Ovis aries: one gene and its partner. The protein of the gene in region 1 purifies or fractionates together with the protein of each later gene. This does not show direct contact. Links are inferred from orthologs where the notes say so. Each region holds a gene or a part of one and is shown in the gene's direction. Other genes may lie near its edges.

Region 1 (8,861 bases):
CTGTTAAAAAGAATTCATTTGAATCAGTTCTGATGAGATGGATGAAACTGGAGCCGATTATACAGAGTGAAGTAAGCCAGAAAGAAAAACACCAGTACAGTATACTAACACACATATATGGAATTTAGGAAGATGGCAATGACGACCCTGTATGCAAGACAGGAAAAAAGACACAGATGTGTATAACGGACTTTTGGACTCAGAGGGAGAGGGAGAGGGTGGGATGATTTGGGAGAATGGCATTGTAACATGTATACTATCATGTAAGAATCGAATCGCCAGTCTATGTCTGACGCAGGATACAGCATGCTTGGGGCTGGTGCATGGGGATGACCCAGAGAGATGTTATGGGGAGGGAGGTGGGAGGGGGTTCATGTTTGGGAACGCATGTAAGAATTAAAGATTTTTTTTTTTAATAAAAAATTTAAAAAAGAGTGTTGTTTTATATTGTCTTCAAGTTAAATTTTTGTTGTTGTTGTTGTTGTTTTTAGCTGTTAAGCAAAAAAATAAAAACCTTAAAGCTGTTCACAAGAATGGTAAAAAGAAGAAAATGAAGCGAAAGTGTCCTGGCCCTGGAGACAAAGGAAATGCTTCCCTGAGGAACAGTGGCTCACAGGACCAGGTATGAGGATCCACGTGTGTCGGAAGGCACTGCATCTCACACCTCAGGGGGCCTCCTTTACCCTCAGCAGGCTCCCCACATGCTTCCTTCTCCCTGTTAGGCTCCCTTCCTCACACTCAAACCTTAGTGTCGTACCTGCTGCCCCTGAATACATACGCACAAGCCCCCTGATTTCTGAGTGCTGTGCTGTCGATGACTGTGAAAAAACAGATGTGGGAAGCAAGGAAAAGGGTGCGTGCATGCTAAGTCACAACCAGCTCTTTGCAGCCCCGTGGACTGTAGCCCGCCAGGCTCCTCTGTCCATGGGATTTCCCAGGCAGAAACACTGGAGTGGGTGCCATTTCCTCCTCCAGGGGATCTTCCGACCCAGGGATCGAACCCACATCTCTGTGTCTCCTACACTGACAGGTGGATTCTTCACCACCGCGCCACCTGGGAAGCCCAGACCACTGGACTGCCGGGAAAGTCCCTAGATAGCTGTGAGGGCATTCTAACGGCCATTGGTCTATTGGGTTTTGACTCCCTCTGGAAATTAAAAGTGAATATTTTTGAGACACCCCCTTCCAGATACCAGACCCCCCATCCCCTCTGGTATTTTGATTTTGCTTTCTAGAAGTTCTTCTTCCTTGGTCTGCAGATGTAATCACAGTGGAGCAGTAAGTGACTCTTCTGGACTCTACTTTTCTGAGGGCTTCTAAGCTGGATGGCATCCATTTGTTAAGCTTGGTTCAGGAAACAAGAGTTAGGGCTTAGTAAAATATTAGAAACACCATATATTATGGACTGAAATGTGTTTATATAAAATTTATTTTACAGAAGGCGACTGTGAAGCCATAGTGTTTAGGTCTGTAGTCACCCAGGGCCAGGCAGGGCTGCACTCAGGCAGTGTTCCCTTTCCTTTGGTTTAGATTGACTCAAGTGATTATTCCACCATAACTGACAGCTCTTCTACATGAGAAACAAATTGTAAACATGTTTATTAGAATTCAATCACATGATCAAATAAAACTGAGAGTTAAAACTGGCATACTTGTTAGGCACATGATTTTGATAGTGCTGAGTGGAATTTTGACATTATTACAGAGCAGCTCACATAAGCGTGCAGTCAGCTCCCTTCTTTGTACCTGTGGAGTTCCTAAGACCGTATGTGGGAATACCATATGTAGATGCTGTAAGTTGCACCACAAGTTAACACGCTGAAAGTGATTTTTTTTTTTTTTAATGGGGGAAAAAATGACCGTTTATTGAGCACTTCCTGTATGTTCAGGCATTTTGGGCACAATAGTTCTATATCTTGGATTTTGCAAGATTGATATTATTATTTCAGTTTTGTAGGTGATAAAGGTTAGGAGAAGTGATGCACCCAAAGGCACACAGAGCTGAAATAAAACCTACCTATATTTGGTTTCAGAGTTGATACTTATTTTATTATTCCAGGCTTTGTCTTTATCGTACAGTCTTTACATTTCCCTGATTCTGAAGATGGTCTTATTTTTTTACAACATGGGATAAAGTGTCAGAAAGGAAAATGTAGCATGTACTTGGATATTTTCTATCCTTCCTATAGACATAGATATATTGCTGCTAAGTCGCTTCAGTCGTGCCCGACTCTGTGCGACCCCGTAGACGGCAGCCCACCAGGCTCTTCCGTCCCTGGGATTCTCTAGGCAAGAACGCTGGAGTAGGTTGCCATTTCCTTCTCCATGAAAGTGATTTATGTTTCTAAAGACCTGTAATAAAATTTCCCTCTCATTTTTATGTGAAAGTCCCGTTTTGTTTTCATATCTTTATCACCATCTTGGAGGGTCTGTTTCTAATTATGTTTACTAATTTGAGCTCATCAGTGTACTCAGCTCACACCTAATGAGCCTGTCATTGAAATGAAAGATTACGCTACTTGTGGTTGGTTTACTTTTTAATTTTGAGGTTTGTCCCCAGTGTTCTAAAGAGCCTTGTTCTTAGACTTCACTGTTTATCACAATGAGTGGAACTTACTTTTTAAAAATTTTAAAATTTTTTAAGTGAGGGCAAGTACAATATAATCTCAGATGGTGCAATAAGAAAGAATTAGTAGGTAAAGAATCCACCTACCAATTCAGGAGCTGCAGGAAACTCAGGTTCGATCACTGGGGTTGGGAAGGTCCCCTGGAGGAAGAAATGGCAGCCCACTCCAGGATTCTTGCCTGAAGAATTTCATGGACAGAGGAGCCTCACGGGCTTCAGTCCATGGGGTCGCAAAGAGCCGGACACAGTTCGCATGCAGTCAAGATACAGTAAAAATTCAGATTGCACAAACACTAATGTTCAGTGGTGGAATGATACCAAAACCGACGATCATTCATTTGTTTCAAATGATACACAAAAATCCAAGTCTTACCTGAAGGGCAATTCAGAAGAGTTAGTTTTTAATGTTTTAAAAGGTGGTTTAAGATAATTTTGTACAATGGAATCAAATGTTTAATCTCTTATTTTTCACGTTTAGTTTTTTGTTTTTGTCTTCATAGAATGGGAAATCTAAAGAGCAGCAGCAGCCTGTGAGAATGAGTCAGGGGTTCATCAACCAACATACGGTGCAACGCCAGGGAAAGCAAATTTGTAAATACTTTCTTGAAAGGAAGTGTATTAAGGTATAGTATAAGCAAAAAAAATAGATGTAAGGTATAGCAAAAATGTTCTAAAACCAGCTTCTGTTTCTGTTAGACACTGCAAAAGCATACCTGTATAATTTTAGAACTTTTTTCTTTCTGGAAAGGTTTCAAGTAGAAAATTTTACTGAAATATTCTTTTGTATTTAGAAAGTAGTAATGTAATTCCACAGTGATAAGAGAACAGACTCTGTATGATTTTAATACTTTAGACCATGAAATTTTTGTACCTTGTTTTATGTCTCTGAAAATAGATAATTTTTTTTAAATGCTTTGTGTTAAAAATGTTAAGGACTTGACAAATTGCAAGCCAAAATATGTAATACGATGCAGTTATAATAGCTCTTTAAAAAGCAGACTATACTGCTTCTAAGACTTTGTTTTCTTCTGGAATCATTTGCTTATCCAGAATTAAGTAGGAATTGTAATGGCTTAACTGTGAGAAATAATAGCTTTCCCTTGTTTCTTCCTTTGGCCCAGGGAGACCAATGTAAATTTGATCATGATGCAGAGATAGAGAAGAAAAAGGAAATGTGTAAGTTTTATGTACAAGGATATTGTACCAGAGGGGAAAACTGCCTTTATTTGCATAATATCCTTTATCACAAGATACAGTAAATTTACTTTTCATAAATGTTTACATGAATGTAAAATTTTGAATGAAACAAATGTTTTAACCATGGCAAAATTATATTATCTAAGCTCAACTCAGTATTGAAGTGATTAAATTGTTCACAGATTAGAAATTCTCTCAAATGTACATCCTCTCTAACTGGGTAGTGTAACAGGGTCATGAGACCTTACAGTTTAGGTCCCAGGAATACTTTCTCAGAATTTCTGCTGTGACATCCCTGAATTGAATCTGTATTCATGAAATCTGCTTCATAAAAGAGGCAGGAATTGCATAGTTTGGGAGTACTTCTTTTCTGTTATACTGTGTGCTGTATAGAGATTAATTGTCCCTTAATTGAAGAGTAACCCTAACTCTTGAGTATAAATGGTCTAGACATGCTATGAAAACATGGAACATAACATTTTAGGACAACTGCACATTTGGTCACCACAAAAGTTGTTTTCCTTTAAGTCATTCAATATGAGGAATCTCAAACCCTAACTTGAGAAATTTTTCCTGGAAAATAATATCAGAGTTATGTATATGGATCCCATTTTAAACAAGTCTAACAAGGATCCAGATTTGCAAGACACATTATTGTTACTGACTTTAATTCCCTCACCCCAAAAGAATACTTTAAAAATAGTCAAATTTCTCTAAGTATTTAAAATGCACATCTCTTTTGTCTTATCAGTGAAACATACCTGTGGTTTAAGAATGATTATGAGGGAGAAATTTGTCCTGTGATAGCCAATAAACTTCATGTGTATAATCATCCTAAAGTTAATTTTCTTATAACCCAGTTAATAATTTATTGTCTCGTGCTTTATTTTGTTAAGAATGGATCTTTTTATTTTTAATTCATTAATTTATTTGGCTGTCCTGGATCTTAGTTGCAGCACGTGGGATCTTTAGCATGTGGGCTTTAGTTCCCCGACCAGGGATTGAACCCTGGACCCCTGCATCGGGAGTGCTGAGTCTCAGCCAGTGGACCACCAGGGAAGTCCTGTCGTCTCATATTTTACATAGAGAATTTAATGTTTCCACTAGTAGAAAAGAACTTCATGAAGGAAAAATAAAGTTATTAGATTAATAGTAAGTTATATTAGCAGGATTAAAATTTTTTTCTTCCTTAACACTTGCGTTACATGAATATCCTTGCAAGTTTTACCATACAGGAGCAAAATGTTATCAGGGAGAATACTGCAAGTTTTCACATGCTCCATTGACTGATGAAACACAAGAACTGTTGGCTAAAGTAAGTACAATTTTAATTTTTGTTTTTCTTCTTTAAAGAATACGTTTGAACCTAAGGGTGGGAATTTAAAAAGACACTTATTTAAGCAGAGTGCTTCATGGGTTAGCATATGGGTTATATTACGACAACTTACTTCAGTATAGAAAATTATTATTCATTTGTATGTTTTCCCTTGTAGCTTAAAGGAAAATTTATACTTGTTGCTGGTATAAATTGAAATGTTCTTAAAAACTTCAGTGTATTTAGCGACTTCAGTAGCTATGTCAGCCAATGGAAAACAAAGCAGATAGGAGAAATAGTACTCCTGATACACTCTTAGAAGGAAAGTTAAGGATCATTGGTTGATAAATATTTTAGAGTTACATCAAAGCATACTCAAATAATTATTTCAAAGTTTTCTTCAAAAGCTCTTTCAGATTGTAAGAAAAGATAGTTGAAAAATAATAGTTGTTTATGTCCTTTCATTTCCATGTGTAAGTTGGACCTGATTTCTTCAAAATTAAATTGAAATGTGAGTGAAAAGAAAAGATTCTTTTTTTTTTAATTTTTACTTTATTTTACTTTATAATACTGTATTGGTTTTGCCATACATTGACATGAATCCGCCAGGGGTGTACATGAGTTCCCAGTCCTGAACCCCCCCTCCCACCTCCCACCCCATATCATCTCTCTGGATCAGCCCCGTGCACCAGCCCCCAGCATCCCGTATCCTGATCGAACATAGACAGGCGATTCATTTCTTACATGATAGTATACATGTTTCAGTGCTATTCTCCCAAATCATCCCACCCTCTCCATCTCCCTCAGAGTCCAAAAGTCCGTTCTATACATCTGTGTCTTTTTTGCTGTCTCGCATACAGGGTTATCCTTACCATCTTTCTAAATTCCATATATATGTGTTAGTATACTGTATTGGTGTTTTTCTTTCTGGCTTACTTCACTATGTATGATCGGCTCCAGTTTCATCCACCTCATGAGAACTGATTCAAATGTATTCTTTTTAATGGCTGAGTGATACTCCATTGTGTATATGTACCACAGCTTTCTTATCCATTCATCTGCTGATGGACGTCTAGGTTGTTTCCATGTCCTGGCTATTATAAACAGTGCTGCGATGAACATTGGGGTCTCAATTCTGGTTTCCTCAGTGTCTATGCCCAGCAGTGGGATTGCTGGGTCATAAGGCAGTTCTATCTGCAATTTTTTAAGGAATCTCCACACTGTCCTCCATAGTGGCTGTACTAGTTTGCATTCCCACCAACAGTGTAGGAGGGTTCCTTTTTCTCCACACCCTCTCCAGCATTTATTGCTTGCAGACTTCCAGATCGCAGCTATTCTGACTAGTGTGAAATGGTACCTAATTGTGGTCTTGATTTGCATTTCTCTGATAATGAGTGATGTTGAGCATCTTTTCATGTGTTTGTTAGCCATCCATATGTCTTCTTTGGAGAAATGTCTATGTAGTTCTTTGGCCCATTTTTTGATTGGGTCGTTTATTTTTCTGGAATTGAGCTTCAGGTGTTGCTTGTATATTTTTGAGATTAGTTGTTTGTCAGTTGCTTCATTTGCTATTATTTTCTCCCATTCAGAAGGCTGTCTTTTCACCTTGCTTATAGTTTCCTTTGTTGTGCAGAAGCTTTTCATTTTAATTAGATCCCATTTGTTTATTTTTGCTTTTATTTCCAGTATTCTGGGATGTGCAATCTCTTTAACAAGTGGTGCTGGGAAAACTGGTCAACCACTTGTAAAAGAATGAAACTAGATCACTTTCTAACACCACACACAAAAATAAACTCAAAATGGATTAAAGATCTAAACGTAAGACCTGAAACTATAAAACTCCTAGAGGAGAACATAGACAAAACACTCTCCGAAAAGATTCTTTTGAAACCAGACTGTTTAATCTTGCAACAAAAACTCCCTTGAGCATATGCAAATATTGGAAAGTCAAAGGTCCTTATTTCTGAAAAGTCAAAGGTCCTTATGTTTTTAGTTTTGAAATAGGAAGAGTTATCCTGGAATTAGAAATTATAGCAAATATTTGGTTGTTTATTACCATGAAGCATATATGGAAAAAATGATGTATATAGAATTCATTTTCCAGTTCCCCTTTTAATAAGTATTATTAGGTAATTACTAGGATTAATGGTGTAGGAATCTTTAGGAAATTATAAGAAAAAAAAAAAAGGAAAATTATAAGAGTATGATGATGTACCTGAATTAGATAGTACATGAAAATGATTGTGAATTTTTTTTCCCCTCTATATTAGATTTTGGATCCTGAAAGGAAGTCATCATGAAAATAAAATAGCTGAAAAAGGTAAAATTAAAATTTAACATTTCTTTTCCCCCTCTGAAATGTCTCTAGAAATCAGCATGGGAACATATATTTTCTCAAATAGAAGTCTTTTTCTTGCTCACTTAAAAAAGTTATACAATGTTTGACAGATATAAGTAGATATGTATGTGGGTCTCTGTGGGTCTACTTCCCACTCTGGATTTGTCACTGTCTTTCTGTATTTTTATTCTCTTGTTTTATTCTTTGTAGACTTACCAAACGGGTAAGGTTAACTGAATATTATGCTTGGGTTTGGATATTATTTTAAACAGTATCATATTTGATATTTATTAGTGACTTGCTATTTTTACTCGTCATTATGCTTCTAAGGTTCACTCATGTATATGCATGCAGCTGTCATTCATTTGTACTCTTGTAGAACATTTTTTTCTATGAATATATTACAATTTATTTAGACATTCTACTGTTGATGGACATTGAGGTTATTTTCAATTTTTAAAGTACAAACTCTTATTATAAAAAAGTGTTTTACCTGTCTTCTGATGGAAATGTGTGTGAGTTGTCCTGAGTATGAATCAGGAAGTAGAATTGTATCATCTTAAAACTTAAGATGATCTGTATACTTATGCCTGATTTATATTGTGGTACAGCAGAAACTAATACAACATTGTAAAGCAATTTTTTTCCAATTAAAAAAATAATAAACTTAGGATAATGCCAGTCTTTTCTAAAGTAGTTCTTACAGTTTTTATTCCCACCAACTATGTAAAAGAAATTCCATTACTCCACCTTCAGAAATGGTATGGACCTGACAGAAGCAAAAGATATTAAGAAGAGCTGGCAAGAATACACAGAAGAACTGTATAAAAAAAATCTTCACGACCCAGATAATCACGATGGTGTGATCACTCACCTAGAGCCAGACATCCTGGAGTGTGAAATTAAGTGAGCCTTAGGAAGCATCACTATGAACAAAGCTAGTGGAGGTTATGGAATTCCAGTTGAGCTATTTCCCAAATCCTAAAAGATGATGCTGTGAAAGTGCTGCACTCAATATGCCAGCAAATTCGGAAAACTCAGCAGTGGCCACCGGACTGGAAAAGGTCAGTTTTCATTCCAATCCCAAAGAAGGGCAATGCCAAAGAATGTTCAAACTACCGCACAATTGCATTCATCTCACACGTTAGTAAAGTAATGCTCAAAATTCTCCAAGCCAGGCTTCAGCAATACGTGAACCGTGACTTTCCAGATGTTCAAGCTGGTTTTAGAAAAGCAGAACCAGAGATCAAATTGCCAACATCTGCTGGATCATGGAAAAAGCAAGAGAGTTCCAGAAAAACATCTATTTCTGCTTTATTGACTATGCCAAAGCCTTTGACTGTGTGGATCACAATAAACTGCAAAATTCTGAAAGAGATGGGGAT
Region 2 (8,961 bases), on another chromosome or scaffold:
ATATGATGTATGGATCCAACTTAGAGCCTTCTAGATGGCTACCTAGTCGTTGCCATACAGTTTATTAAATCATGTGTCTCCTCTAAACTCCCACTTTTATAATATTCCAATTCCAATGTGTATTTGGATACATTTGAAAGAAATTAAAGTTTTTCTTGATATTTAAAAAAAAAAAAGAAAAGGAAGAAAGAAACCTGGTCATTAAAGACAATGGAGGTGAGAAAGAAGAGGTGAGAGTATAAAGGCCCCTGACACCAAACAGGTTAAGAACCATTAATCTAGACAGAATAGACGTGCCAGTCTTTCGAGAGAAAGAAATTATGCCCTGGTTCCAAGCTTCTGAACAATTTGTTCCAAAGAACTTTGCATAACCAATGTGACTGGAGAAGGAAATGGCAATCCATTCCAGCACTATTGCCCGGAAAATCCCATGGACAGAGGAGCCTGGTAGGCTACAGTCCATCGGGTCACCAAGAATCGGACACGACCAATGTGAACTCTAGGGTTGCCAGACAGAATACAGGGCAATATTTCAGAGATGCATACTCACACTAAAAAATTATTCACTGTTTATCTGAAATTCAAGTTTAACAGAGTGTCCTATTTTAGGTTTGGGTTTTTGTTTTTCGTTTTTCTTTGGTTGCACTAGGTCTTAGTTGCAGCATGTGGGGTCTTCTGTCCTCACTGTGGCATGCAGAATCCTTCACTGTGGCATGTGAGCTTTTCACTGCAACACGTGGGATCTGTTTCCCTGACTAGGGATCGAACCTGGACTCCTTGCTTTGGGAGCAAGGAGTCTTAGCCATTGGATCACCAGGAAAGTCCCAGGTTTGGGGTTTTTAAAAAATTTATTTTAGGTTTTTTAGCTAAATCTGGCAAATCATTTGTGAAACATGAAAGGAAGGAAGGAAAAAGGAAACAGTGAAAACAAATAAGACTTACAATAAATTCTTGGCTTTCCATTACTTCTTCTGAAATTAGGTTCAGGTGCAGAAAATAATCAGTAGTCATTCAACTATTTATAGCACCTAAAATGAAAAAAGACAAATATTCAACCCTGATGAACAGAATAAGTATCAACTACAATTTTTCCCCACCAACTCTTGACCAGAGAGGGGTATTTAAGTGTTGAGACTATGTAATCACCAAGGGAAACACACATGTAGGGAATTCCCTGGCAGTCCAGTGGTTTGCACTCTGTGCTTTCACTGCAAAGGGCTGGCATCAATCACTGGTCAGGGAACAAAGATTCCACAAGCTTCCAGGGTAAGCCAAAAGAAAAAAAACCAACCCACAGATGAGTAGGCTGCAGACATTTTTCCAGGTGCCATAATATATATCAGAAAATGGATTCTCTCCCCGCCCCAGAAGCTTGGTTTCTCTAAGAGCTTCAATTTTAAAATTCTCTGAATTGCTACGATCACCACAAGATGGCCCCCTTGCATTTCAAATTTTTCCTTTTACCTTTTCAAAGTCAATGTAACATAGTATCTAAAACCAAATATACATTATAATACACTCTCCAAGGAAAAACTTTTTCAATATAATTGCAATGAGTACTATATTTATCCCATGCTATTGGATAAAACTATTATTGTGGGCAAATCTGGAAATCTAATATCACTGACAATGAACTGAAGTAAACAGAGATGCCGAAGAAAAGTATTATTATTTTTAACCACTGCCTTAGATCCCTGGGCCAATAGCATTAGCAACACCTGGGAGCTAGTTAGAAATTCAAATTCTTGAGTCTTGAGCTATTAAATCATAAAGGCTGGCATTGGGGTCCAGTACCTGTAATTTAAAACGCACTGCAGGTGCAGTGATACACACTCAAGTTTGAAACCTACAGGTATTCAATAAAGCAATAATTTGCAATTCTGGATTAAATTCATCCTTTATATGTATAAAATGTACAAAAAATAGACCACCTACATGTTATTTATAAATAACATATATTTAGTACTTACTGTGTGCTATGTATTGTGTGTACATAGCGCTAGGCCAAGATACTAAAATGAACAAACTACTACTCCTAGTCTCAAGGAATTTCAGTATAGCAGGGTAATAAACAGTAATTACAAAAAATATGGAAGGAAAAGCACTGGAGGGACACCCAACTCAGTCTAGGGCATCAAACAAGGTTTCCTGAAAGACATAATGCATATACTGTGAACCGAAATAATCATTAACCAAGGAAAAATCCCAAGGAGGGTATTTCCAAATAAGAATAACACGTACAAAAAAGCTGTGGAAGGCATAATCAAGGAACTCTAGTTTATAATCAAGTGTAAGATAGTGAGTTGTGAGAGATAAGTCTGAAAAAGTGAGCAATAACAGGATGCGAAGGGCATTCTATTTTATGCTAAGTTGTTCGGACTTTTTAAAAAGACAGTAGGAGGCCAAGGCAGAATTTCAAGAATACGTTAACATAATCTGACTTGGGTTTTACCAAGATTGCTCTGGCTGCTAAATGGAGAAAGGGCAGGGCAAACGGTACACAAATGAGAAATGAATGCTTGTCCCATGATATAGTTCACAGCACAGGGCCAGACCTACAGAGGCACTGCCTTTCAGAAATATAACTCCATATCCTAATCCCTCCCCTCCAGCTAACAGGATTGACAGATGCCTAGTGAATGCCAAGAAGATAACAGAGGTCCAAAGAAACACATAGTTGACTGCTGGTTGAACAGCAACTTGCTTCTAGCCACTGAATGGGTTAGACATCAAATATATGTAGATAAGACTACATAGTGTCAACACAATGCTTGGCATGTAGCAGTTAACATTAGATCCCTTTAATAACAGTTATTATTTATTCAGTGTAAATTATATGCTAGAACACTGTTAAAATGCTTTAAATTTTACACCTTATAGTACAGATACTACTTTTTATATTCATTTTACAAAAACAGGAAGTGAGGTACATCAGTATGTAATTTGCCTAAGCTCATGAAGTAAATAAATGGCAGATTCAGAATTTAAAACTAAGTAGTCTAAATTCTGGTGTTCCCATTCACAAAAACTACATTATGTGACTATGGAAAACCTACTGTAACAGGCAAGAATGGGACTGGATTCTTTACATATAATATTTATCAGTCTCATAGTCCTAAAAGTTGTTATTACCATCACAATTTACAGGTTAGAAATCCAGTATTTACTTCTTTAGGATTACTTATATGCTGTTTACCAACTGCAAAATAAATTCCCCCATTGTTTTCCTAAATTAGAAATATTACTTGAGGGATTTGCGATGTAAAAGGTATTGAGACGGTCCTAACTCTTGTTAAGTGGTAGATTAAAGAATTACACTTCAAAAAAAAGGGAGAGATTAAATGTTTTGCGATAATTTAGTACAGAAATACATACATATCTTCACACACATTATTGTGCTGTTTTTTAGATTTATGTATAAAATTCGGTGTTATCACTAAAATATGACCTGTTCTTGCTAAGTACGATGAGATGTTTTTGGTCCTTTTCTTTTGGAACAAGCAGGATCTTTCGAATCCCTAAGTGGTTCACAGATTTAAAAATTTAAGAATCACGAGCCCAATAGCCTTTTAAGAAACGGTCCAGTCCAGACAACCAAAAGATGCTCACATTTCATTTGCCAACGTTCTAATTATCACTAGCTTGTGTAACCAGATGACAATGAAGAAGGGACCCTTTGTCAGTCCTAAAAATAAACAGCAAAACCATCCCGGGTTCTCACACGGATACCGGAACTGCCCAGCAGGAGTTGGGGGAAGGTGGTAAAGACGAAGCACTAATTATTTACAGGTTGCTGCGCCAAGCCGTGAACCAACCTTATCTCCACACAGTTTCGTTACCGAACCCCGTCTGGCGGAGCAAACTCCTTCGCCCGTCGCATCAAAATCAGTGACAGCACCTCGAGCTCAAAACTCCAGCCTATCTACCCTCAATCCCCAGAAACTCCCGAGTGGAAACAGCTCTTTTAACTTGCTCATTGCACAAAACCCACTTTCGAACTTCTCCCGCGAAAAGCCGTGACATCATCAACTCGCGACCGCACCAGATCCAACCCCACTATTTAGCCCGCCCACCACGGCTCCGGACCTGAATGGCCGTTTTCAAACTGCCAATCAAGTTCCTCTTTGGCTGCTAGCCTCTGTGGCGACTGCGTTCTCCGATGTCCCGCCCCCACGCTGAGCGGGCCTACGCCAGTGACGTAAATGTCGGTCGCACAACCTCTGGGCCCATCTTTTCCAAGGCGTTCGGAAGAATTGTCGCTCATGTGACGCTAAAATAACCACGACTATAAGGTTCGGGGGACGCGAAGGACTGAAGAACGCAGTCTCTGGCGCTGTATTTTGGGAATTGGACAGAGTAAGTTCTAAGTGGACTCTAGGGAAGCCCAGGTTGGGTGAGATCTAAATTACTCTCAGTCTTTTTCTATGCCGGTCCTTTCTGTCATCTCTGGTCCTTCTCATCCCGCCCCCTCCCACCAACCCATCAGTTAGATTGCCCTAGTGTCCTGGTTCTCTGTGCGCACGCGCAAGAGTCCTCCGGCAGCCCTTGCAGTTCCAGTTTTCTAGTGATTGGGGGCGCTTGCCGCCCGGTTTTGGGAGGTTTGGGGTAGTCCCGCGTCTGACGGCTTCCTTGAGGAAGGACGGGTACCTAAAGGGGCAGTAGTCAAAAGGGGAATTGCTTTTCTTCGCAGATTCGAGTTTTGGTGGCCAAACGATAGCGAATGTGGACTTGTATTTTTAAATTAAGTCATTTCCTTTTTCAGAACTTTTGTCTCTGTCATTCAGAGAGCTGAACATCCAGTTATGGAAGGAAGAAAAAATACAGTGTATTATTGAGTGCGTTAATAGACATACTTAAAAGGGAAACAGATGAGGCGGTTGTTTAGGGGAAATGTGCTAGCAGAAAGCTAGAAAGAGTAAGATGCCGTTTAACCTGGGCCTTGAAAATTGAATAGGACTTGATAAGACAAGGAAGACAAGAAGCTTTTAAAGCAGAGGCACAGAGACAAGAAAGTAGGCAACGCTGGATAGTCAGATGTGACTAGAACTATAGTTCTCTTAACCTTTTTGACACACCATTTCCTTTTAAAACGTGATTTAAAAGATATGGATGAGCCTCCCAGGAAAATACATATACATCTCTAAATATTTTCTATAACCTTTTAAAGAAAAATTGTGAAAGACGTTGAAATAGCCAAAAAAAAAGAGGTGTCTAGCTTACTTTTCCAGCTTACCTCTGCTTTTCATTGTCATTGAGCTATGTTACAATTATGTAAGTTATAATTGAAATAAGTCTTAAGAGTTATTGCCCTGATTAGTGTTACATCTGTTAACAAGTTCATTTCAATATTTTTGCTTGCTTGTATTTGCGCTTGTCTAGTTTTTGAGTTCACCTTTGAACTGGTTTTTAGCACTTAACTAGTTCCCTGGTTAATTACTTAAATAAAATGATTGACGAGTTCATTTTATAAACGTAGAAAAGTCATGGTTTCACCTTTAAAATTTACCTTTGAAAATTTCGTGGGATTTACAATAATTTTTGAAATCCATCCCAAATTCCATGGATTTCAGGTTAAGAATTTCTGAGCCAGGAGAGATGGACTTGTGGACACAGCCGGGGTGGGGAGGGAGAGAGTGAATGAATGGAGAAGGTAGCATCAACAGATACACACTACCGTGTGTAAAATGGATAGCTGGTGAGAAGTTGCTGTATGACACAGGGAGCCCAGTCTGGTGCTCTGTGATGACCTAGAGGAGTGGGATGGAGAAAGGGGAGGGAGGCTCAAGAGTGAGGGTATATATGTATATTTATGACTGATGGTGGCGCTACTGTTAAAAAAATCTTGCCTCCCATTGCAGGCGATGTAAGATGCAATGTTAGATCCCTGAGTCAGGAAGATCCCCTGGAGGAGGGCATGGCAACCCACTCCAGTATTCTTGCCTGGAGAATTCCTTGGACAGAGAGGAGCCTGGATGGCTGCAGTCCATGGGATCACAAAGACTCAGACACTGCTGAAGCGACTTAGCACGAACACACAGATGGCTGATTCGCGTTGTTGTACAGCAGAAACCAACACAACATTGTAAAAAAAAAAAAAATTTAACAATTTAAAAAAAGGATTTCTGAGTCAAAACGTAGACTACATGGTAAGAGGTTGCAAGAGGTTCTACTAAAACTTAGGCAGTGTGAAAGTTAAACATACCTGAGCTTACTTACCTAGCTAGCTTTAGCCAGGTCACTTAACCTTTGAGCCTTTGTAAAAAGTTAAGAGAAATAACCTAGAGGGATTATGAGGATTTAAAACAAGGTGTGTAAAGTAACTGGTGTTACACAGTAACTTTTATTCTTTGTTTAAACCCTATGAAACTAGTTGATTCATTTAACAATTTTTTAAAAATATATGCTGTGTTACCAAAAGATGCTAAAGAATTATTATTGTTGAAAGTTTTAGCATTAGAGTCACAAAATTAGACCTGTGTTTAGACAAGTTACACAGCTTCTGTGAAGGATGGAGGACTTCTCAAACAATTTATAAACAATTTCCGTATTATTATAACAGTAGTTGTGGAAAACACTGGATGAAGATAAGAGCCATTCCAAAGGTTACATTGATAGGGATTAATGACAGATTGGTAAATGATAAAATGATAATAAATAACAGTTAGATATTGTTGACTGTGTGCTGTATAGCAGCAATGGAAAGTGCTTTATCCATTTTGGTTAATTTTTAAAACAACCCTAGTATGTCAGTATAAATTTTATTCCACTTTGTAGATCGTAGAAAGTTGAGTTAACTTGCCCCAAATCCATACAGCTAGTAAATAGCTCGACTGGTTAACTAAGTAGAATATGTCATCCTTAAAGAAAATGAGGGTGGTGAGAACAGCAGAACAGACATTGCTAAGAAAGATAAGAACTTTGATTTGGAATGTATGGAATGACAGTATACCTATTTGTTATCATAGGACATTGAAAAAGTAAACTATGACTATCATGTAACTTCCTGATCTTCTGCAACCAATGTGTAGCAAAGAGAACTTGTACCATAGCTTAATTCCTGTTTAATCTAATCCATATCTGTACTCGAAAATGAAGGTATATTTGATTCTCCACAGATTTTTAAGATTGAAAGTTGCAGAGTGTTATTCACATGGGGCAAGATTTTCTGAACTTAATTCTCCAGGCCGCAAAATATATATATATATATATTTATATATGGGAAAGGAAGGAGAGTATCAGGGCTGAGAAGAGAATGCTGGGAAAAGTCTGATTTCTGGGAGATTTGTGGCTTTCTGTGTTTATGCAGTTTTGTCCACTATCTCCTTAGATGGTGGCTTTGACGATGAAAACAAATGGAGAAGTAGTGTGTGTGTGAAGTCGCTCAGTGTTGTCCAACTCTTTGCAACCCCATGGACTGTAGCTTATCAGGGTCCTCCCTCCATGGGATTCTCCAGGCAAGAGTGCTGGAGTGGGTTGCCATTTCCTTCTCCAGGGGATCTTGCCGACCCAGGGATCGAACCCGGGTCTCCTGCATTCCAGGCAGATGCTTTAACCTCTGAGCCACCAGGAGAAGTGGTAATCTGCCCTTTATAGATTTTTCAGATGAAAGAGTTAGTAGTGAATTCTGTAGTGACGATCATAGCCTACATTTGTATTTTGTTTATAATTCTACCCCCTTACAAAATAACTTGAAATGCTCAATACTTGACAATTTATTAGATGCTGTTAGTTATATTACTTAACTAGACAATAAATGCCAAGGTTGTGATCAAGCTGAAGTCTCTGCCTTCTTAGTGTTTATATTATAATGAAGCAGGCAATAAAATTATAATTCCAGGCAGGAATAAGAGCATATAAGTATAGAAAGTGGTGAGTGAGGGAGGGTAGGGTTATGGTTGGCAGGGAAGGGATATTTTAGATTTGGTGAAAGAGAAAGCCTCTTTGAGAAAGTGACATTTGCAGAGGCCTGGGTGAACAAGGAAGTAATCCCTGCAGATGTGACAGGAAACCTGGGAAACAGCAGGAGCAAAAGCCGTGGAATGGGAATGCATTAGACTGTTCAAGGAACAGAACGATGGTGTGTTGAGGTTGTAATGAGCACCCTGAAAGAAGTTGCAAGTGACGAAGTTAGAGCGAAATCCCCAGGCCAGATGTAATAGGACCTATAGGCCACAATAAGGATTTTTTATTTTATTCTGACTGGGATAAGAAACCTTTGGAGGATTTTGTTCAAGAAATTGACATTTTATTTATATATTTAAATGATCACTCTGACTGCTATCTGGAGAATTGACAATGGAAGAGGAGTAGAAGCAAGTAAATGTGAGGATGTGTTTGAACTGCAGGCAAGGTACCCGTGATAGCTTGGAGCAGGTGGTTGTGATGGAAGAAATGAGGAGTCATACGAATTTTGAAAAGCTAGAGCTAACAGAAATGCTAATGAATTGGCTGTGGGGTGTGAGGAAGAAATTAAGGATTTCAGTGTTTGTGCCCTCTCAGCAGTTTTCACTGGTATTTTCCGAGACGGGAAAAACTAGGAAAAAAACGTGGTTTGCTAAAATTTGAGAGTTCAATTTAAGCTTGAGATATGCTTCAGATGAATAAGTGAAGAGGTCAGGTGGGTATTTGCGTGTTGGAATGGGGAGGTAATGGGGTAAGTCGGGAGTGGACAGGTTTGTGAAACATCAGCATAGAGAGCCATGGAGCTTAACGCCAGAGGCCCTCTGGAACGACATGTGTGTAGATAAGGGAGCCCAGGACTGACTGCATTCAGTCCTGGGCATCATGGAAAGGCAGAGCAGAGTCAGAGGGTCCAGAAAAGGAAATGGAGAAGACAACTCATGGAAGCCAAATGAGGAAAATGTTTTGTGAGGGAGTTAGCAACTGCAAATGCTCCTGAGAGGCCTGGTAGATAGTGGGGATCCTAGTTTTCAGTTTCATTAGAATGATGGAAAGGAAAGC

The links.
Region 2: the proteins of ZC3H8 (region 1) and LARP7 purify together in Homo sapiens (affinity purification with mass spectrometry; 4 studies listed by BioGRID and IntAct, counting the BioPlex papers as one, with this or other methods). This does not show direct contact. The link is inferred for Ovis aries from reciprocal best matches to the Homo sapiens genes ZC3H8 and LARP7.

What each region holds. Positions count from the first base shown.
Region 1 is NC_056056.1:106,297,475-106,306,335, reverse strand, and holds part of ZC3H8 (zinc finger CCCH domain-containing protein 8), read left to right. Parts: intron 1-491; coding exon 492-622; intron 623-3,126; coding exon 3,127-3,249; intron 3,250-3,747; coding exon 3,748-3,861; intron 3,862-5,030; coding exon 5,031-5,138; intron 5,139-7,408; coding exon 7,409-7,438; 3' UTR 7,439-7,458; intron 7,459-8,209; exon of another isoform or gene 8,210-8,861.
Region 2 is NC_056059.1:13,386,123-13,395,083, reverse strand, and holds the start of LARP7 (la-related protein 7), read left to right. Parts: upstream 1-4,200; 5' UTR 4,201-4,356; intron 4,357-8,961. Other genes in the region: protein ZGRF1, read right to left, coding at 943-1,011. UniProt on the Homo sapiens protein: RNA-binding protein that specifically binds distinct small nuclear RNA (snRNAs) and regulates their processing and function.